2 linked regions of the Saccharomyces cerevisiae S288C genome follow. The protein of the gene in region 1 binds, or shares a complex with, the protein of each later gene. Each region holds a gene or a part of one and is shown in the gene's direction. Other genes may lie near its edges.

Region 1 (2,990 bases):
GTTGTTCTCGTTGTCCTCGTTGTTGTTCTTATTCTTTTCATCGCCGTTGTTATTTTTGTTGCTTTCGTTGTTGTTATCCTTGCCGTTCTTGGTGCTATTGATATTATTATTTATGTTGTTTTCAATAGAAGAAATATTTATGTCATTGTAGTTGTTACCTGAGTCATTATCGTCAAAGCCTTTGGTTTCGTCCACCGTGGCATTGAAGGCTGTGGAGTCAAAACCAGTACTGTCAAGGCCTGAAAACATCGAAATATCCATAGAGTTTAAATCGTTGAACATTACATCCGAGGGTTGGGCCTGCTGGCTTTGGATTCGAGTAGTGGTTAAGGGAGAAAATGCGGCACCGTTATTAGCAGCATTTGCGTTCTCAAGTTGTGTTTGACTGGATGATTGAAGAGATCCAAGTTCTTGATAATTCTCTTTGGAACCGTTGGCATCCGTTGTGTTCGCAGGTGCTGTTGTGGAGAAGTTCAAACCAAGGCCATTTTTTTCCTTTGAATTTTGCTGGAGTTGCTGCTGTTGGGAGGCTTCTTCGAGTTCTTGTCGCTTTTTTAATTCTTCTTGTTCTCTAACCTTCCTCATATTTTCTTGTTCAGCCCTCTTTTTTTCAGCTTCCTCTCTTTCTTTCTCCTTTTCTTTTCCGAGTGCAGTAAGAGTTTCTAAATATGAAGAACTCTGGCTTAGAGAAGTCTCTAAATCATCTAAAATTCCATGAAATAATTTAACCTTCTCTTTCAATAATTTTTGCTGAGATTGACTGAAACCATTGACGAGATAAGAATCTAGTTGTACATTTTTTAACTGTTGTTGCATCATCATTTCTGCTCCAACTTTTAGGATGTCATCGAAGCAAACAGTAAGCTTATTTTTATACGTCATTGTTCTGGTATTGCTCCCCCGTTCAGAGAAATTGGCTGTGTGAACAGACGAAACTGGGCTATTTTGTACTACCATTACTTTCAGACGGGCAGTTTATTTGGGAGGATCCGCCTTCAAATTTAAACTATCTTGAGACCAGAACATCTATTGAAATTTTGGTGAATATTCCAGCAACCCTCTCTATCCCGCTTTGAATTTCTTGATGTCATTGGAAACATTTAACTTTTCTCGTTACAAGCGGGTAATATCCTAATCATTGTAATTAAGACGTTGCTTCCCTGGGAAGAAAATAGTATAAACATAAGATATAATAGTTTTTAAAATGGTCAACGTATGCGATGCACAACTAAAAGGTACCAATTCATTAAATATTATAATATTTACTTCTTACTATTACACGAAAGACAAGTGTGAAATGCCTAGGAGATTGATGATTGACAAGCTCTGGCCTTGCAATAAAAATACTTATACACAACTTCAAATAATATAGAAAAGAAAGAAGACTATAAGCTAAAAATGTAGACAACCTCATTTAAATATTATTCTTAGGACTTGGTAATAATAGCTAATTTGTATATTATTCACCTCGGTCACCGCCTGTAATCACCTTTAACGAAAATAGATGCCCAGCCAATCAAAGCGCATTATGGAGTCGTCTAGGAAGGGGCCGTCCCATCATTGTAAAAGTTCATGTTAAATTAGATGGAGGATAACAATAAAGGTATCGTACACACACTGCTAAAAGAGCCTCAATCAATTTGTGAAGGTATAACTGTAGCCGTGAGGATAGGAAAATGTTACGTTCAATTATTGGAAAGAGTGCATCAAGATCATTGAATTTCGTCGCTAAGCGTTCATATGCAGAAGCTGCTGCCGCATCATCAGGTTTGAAGTTACAATTTGCTCTACCACACGAAACTTTATATAGTGGCTCCGAAGTTACTCAAGTGAACCTGCCTGCTAAGTCAGGACGTATTGGTGTATTGGCCAACCATGTTCCCACCGTTGAACAATTACTACCAGGTGTCGTTGAAGTTATGGAAGGCTCTAACTCTAAAAAATTCTTTATATCAGGTGGATTTGCAACAGTTCAACCAGACTCGCAGTTATGTGTAACTGCAATTGAAGCTTTTCCATTGGAATCCTTTTCACAAGAAAATATAAAAAATTTGTTGGCAGAAGCTAAGAAGAACGTTAGTTCATCTGATGCCAGGGAAGCCGCAGAAGCTGCAATTCAAGTAGAAGTTTTAGAAAACCTACAATCCGTATTGAAATAGCGTTTTTATGGTACGCATTCTAGAACTTGAGGGGAAGAAGTCTACGTTTTTAAGTGTTGACAAGCAATTCGCTTGAAAGCGCCAAAATTCATTGTTTGTTCTACTCGAATTTAAGTTTCCATTTTGGTTGATGTCTTAAGTATACAGAGAAACCGTTTATTAGCGTATATATACAGAAAATTTTATTATTTTATATTCAAAAACAAGAAAACAAAAGAGAAAACATTAACATGTAATTTTCATAACTAATAGTCCTAGAAAGTAATACTTTTTACAACTGTTTCTTTAAATCCTGTATGAAAGCCCTAGTTGCAGATCATCGTGTTATTCCAGTGAGTTTTCACTTCCCTAAGTCCTTCCTATTTATGTTTTAGTCCTTCTTGCACAGCAATTTTACTTCGGGCACTGTTGCCGTATATTCTAAAAAAATGAAAAAAACGTTCATGCCCCAGCGAAAACCAGTGTTTCCTCGTATTCGTGTCAGTAATTACACCAAAGTTTGTTCTACACTAAATCACGAATAAAGTGGGAGATTGAGTTCAACAAAATATCTGATTATAAAAGTATGAGAACAAGAAAATTAAGGAGCCTCCATAATAAGGTGCTTTTAATTGAGAATGAATGTTCATTAGTTGCTATATTGATGGTGATGGAACTCCAATTACCTAATCAAAAATATGAATGTTTATGCGAATAAGAGTTTGTAAAGAAAAAGATCCCTGTAGACTGGATGTGAGATGATGATTTCATTCCCGGCCTCTTAAATAAAAACAATTACCACTGCAAAAATGTTCTTCAAACGCGTTTATTATATAATGAAAAAGAAATTCA
Region 2 (2,793 bases), on another chromosome or scaffold:
ACGTAGTCATTATGATAAAGTGAGGATGTGTCTGTGTTGTGAGTTACAAATGCACTTCTTTGGACAGGTATAACAAGGATAACGTATACACCCTTTTATATATGACCGTCCCCCCATACAAATTTGTGCTCGTATGCCGAGTGTGATCTACTCATCGCTTCGTTAATGAATCGTTTAGCCAAGAATATAGTAAACGTGTAGCAGAGTCATACCCCTGATGGCTGCAGACGCAGGGAATACTCAGCCTCGAAACAGTTTTCAATTTATGTGCGTATGCATGGCTATAATCTTCTATTTCTGTCACCTTTCGTTTATTCTAAACGAATTTGCGACGTTCAACGAAAGCGCGTTGAAAAAATTAATCTCTGAAGTTAAACGGTCGGAAAACAGACAAAAAAGTTGTTGTTATTACTTGTAGAGGAAAGAGCTATTTCATAGCTCGTTTGGGAATGCAGGGGTGACGTCCTTCTTCGGGTGTGTTGTCCTAACTTTCCTTAAACACATTGGGCTATCATACCAGTGAAAAAGAAACATACAATGGTCAGATTCGCTTTATTTGGCTACGAGAATGTGGCGGCTAAGTTCCCTCAACAACTATTCCACCAATCTTGATGGCTTTTCTAAGGCTCTAAGTAGACGTTAAGGTGGCTAAGATTCTAAAATTTTGCCATTTTTCGAGGTTGTGCTTCGCCCTATCCCTTGGAAAACATTTCTAATCATCTTAAATTCTGTGATTGAGAACGTTTTAACGTTATCTTAAACGTTTCCATAGAAGAACGAACGTGAAGGTTTGTAGCTCGTTAAAAGGCGATCTTGAATGATGTGAAGAAGTGTAAAAGGCTTAGGAAAGTTGCTTGTTGACCCGGTGTCGTTCAATATACTCCTATTACCCAAATGGCAGTTTCATAGAGTGATATTATTTCGTTGCCTTGTGTAAGTTAGAAGTACTTCTTGTCGATTGTGAATTCGGATAGCCGCTAGAACGCCAATCATTGCGGAGGTTTGCCATCGCATGGATACCATAGCCATCTGCACATTCTAATATAGATTATATTACTTTAGACCATGTCATTTCATAATCGTTGGTTTAAGCGGTGTTGTTTCCACAGTTTGTATGAGAACTTTTGTCCAAAGTAAAGTATCAGTAACGTAATCTGAGCAAACCTACATTAAATCGTAACTCCGCGAGATTCTTTTGTTCAGGTGGATCAGCGGCGTGGTTTACTTCCGATTTGCTCATCGTGCGCATAGCAGCATTTATTCCTCTAATTCGCTCGATAATCAACCTTTCCGCACTACGACGGTGGCAATAGTTGGACCTTAAGATATGCCTATCTGAATACAATTCTTCAACTCACATCAGTGGGACACTAAATAAAGCATATGGTATGAAATACTATGAATTATTGAATTATTGGCAGACACAGCAGCGACAAGTCAGAGTGCTTACAAAAAAAAAAGAGTTGATCCGGCTAAAGAAAGTCTGATTTACGTATTTATCCAGGTTCAAACGGATTGCCAAAAATAGTCGATAACCTCGGAGTAAGCAAAGCAACAATATATTTGTTCTTCGAAAAGGTAAACTTCTTAACTTCTATAGAAGCATTGTACTAGTTCTCTCGAAGAAAAAAACTAAGAAAGCTATAGCTGTATCTTACCAAGCCATGAACTTGAGGAATTGGTAATCCTTATTAGGAAATACGCTAAACTAGGTAATAGCAGATGATTTACTAGCTTACTATCTCACACTAAGTCTGGCAACGCGCTTATTTTTTAATACTTTTATACGAACCAATGAAATTTGATCCTCCCCTTTTTCGTCTAGTTAAATGAAGAGATACAAGTAGGCCTTTCTATTGAGTACTTAGCAAGATATGTATTTCTAAGAAACATCAACAGTTTCAGCCCACAACCGATTCATAAAATGTCTGCCTGGAGGAAAGCTGGTATATCATATGCTGCATATTTGAATGTGGCCGCTCAGGCTATCCGTTCTTCATTGAAAACTGAATTACAAACCGCTAGTGTTCTTAACAGATCGCAAACAGATGCTTTTTATACCCAATATAAAAATGGCACTGCAGCTTCTGAACCCACTCCAATAACAAAATAGTTTAACGCTTCCTGGGAACTGCAGCTCTTTTTTTACTCGCTGATATACATTTTAAATATTCTAGCAACTGTGTATGAAAACTTACGTACTTTTATACGGGAAACTAATAATGACTACAATGATATTGAATACTGGCCGCTTCGAAGAGTGGTATAAAGTTTGTATCATTGCATTAAAAGAAAAAGAAATATATGTCCCATCATCGCCAATCGCAATGTTGAATGGTCGTTTACCACTTTTGCGGCTGGGCATATGCAGAAACATGCTGTCCCGTCCCCGACTGGCTAAACTGCCATCTATAAGGTTTCGGTCTTTGGTCACCCCTTCTTCATCGCAGCTCATTCCTCTCAGTCGGTTGTGTTTAAGGTCACCTGCAGTTGGAAAATCACTAATTTTACAAAGTTTTAGATGTAATTCATCCAAAACAGTTCCAGAAACTTCTCTGCCTTCAGCCTCTCCCATATCTAAAGGATCAGCAAGGTCGGCACATGCAAAGGAGCAATCTAAAACTGATGACTATAAAGATATAATAAGGTTATTTATGTTGGCGAAACGGGATTGGAAACTGCTTCTTACAGCCATACTTCTTTTAACCATATCATGTTCCATAGGCATGTCTATTCCTAAAGTCATAGGTATTGTCCTTGACACACTTAAGACGTCATCTGGATCAGATTTTT

Evidence for each region.
Region 2: the proteins of ATP16 (region 1) and ATP15 are in contact, whole or in part, in a crystal structure (PDB 3ZIA), measured with the Saccharomyces cerevisiae proteins. Residues at the interface, in NP_010280.1 of Saccharomyces cerevisiae: His40 (codon at 1,794), Gln73 (codon at 1,893), Leu74 (codon at 1,896), Leu75 (codon at 1,899), Pro76 (codon at 1,902), Phe91 (codon at 1,947), Ile92 (codon at 1,950), Ser93 (codon at 1,953), Gly94 (codon at 1,956), Gly95 (codon at 1,959), Phe96 (codon at 1,962), Ile110 (codon at 2,004), Glu111 (codon at 2,007), Phe113 (codon at 2,013), Glu116 (codon at 2,022), Ser117 (codon at 2,025), Phe118 (codon at 2,028), Ser119 (codon at 2,031), Asn122 (codon at 2,040), Ile123 (codon at 2,043), Leu126 (codon at 2,052), Arg140 (codon at 2,094), Ala143 (codon at 2,103), Glu144 (codon at 2,106), Ala146 (codon at 2,112), Ile147 (codon at 2,115), Gln148 (codon at 2,118), Glu150 (codon at 2,124), Val151 (codon at 2,127), Leu152 (codon at 2,130); in NP_015052.1 of Saccharomyces cerevisiae: Ser2 (codon at 1,928), Trp4 (codon at 1,934), Ala7 (codon at 1,943), Gly8 (codon at 1,946), Ile9 (codon at 1,949), Ser10 (codon at 1,952), Tyr11 (codon at 1,955), Tyr14 (codon at 1,964), Leu15 (codon at 1,967), Val17 (codon at 1,973), Ala18 (codon at 1,976), Ala19 (codon at 1,979), Ala21 (codon at 1,985), Ile22 (codon at 1,988), Arg23 (codon at 1,991), Ser24 (codon at 1,994), Ser25 (codon at 1,997), Leu26 (codon at 2,000), Lys27 (codon at 2,003), Thr28 (codon at 2,006), Leu30 (codon at 2,012), Gln31 (codon at 2,015), Arg38 (codon at 2,036).

What each region holds. Positions count from the first base shown.
Region 1 is NC_001136.10:441,353-444,342, forward strand, and holds ATP16 (F1F0 ATP synthase subunit delta), read left to right. Parts: upstream 1-1,676; coding exon 1,677-2,159; downstream 2,160-2,990. Other genes in the region: MED2 (Med2p), read right to left, coding at 1-957. UniProt on the Saccharomyces cerevisiae protein: Mitochondrial membrane ATP synthase (F(1)F(0) ATP synthase or Complex V) produces ATP from ADP in the presence of a proton gradient across the membrane which is generated by electron transport complexes of the respiratory chain.
Region 2 is NC_001148.4:28,155-30,947, forward strand, and holds ATP15 (F1F0 ATP synthase subunit epsilon), read left to right. Parts: upstream 1-1,924; coding exon 1,925-2,113; downstream 2,114-2,793. Other genes in the region: PBI1 (Pbi1p), read right to left, coding at 1-10; ATP-binding cassette permease MDL2, read left to right, coding at 2,328-2,793. UniProt on the Saccharomyces cerevisiae protein: Mitochondrial membrane ATP synthase (F(1)F(0) ATP synthase or Complex V) produces ATP from ADP in the presence of a proton gradient across the membrane which is generated by electron transport complexes of the respiratory chain.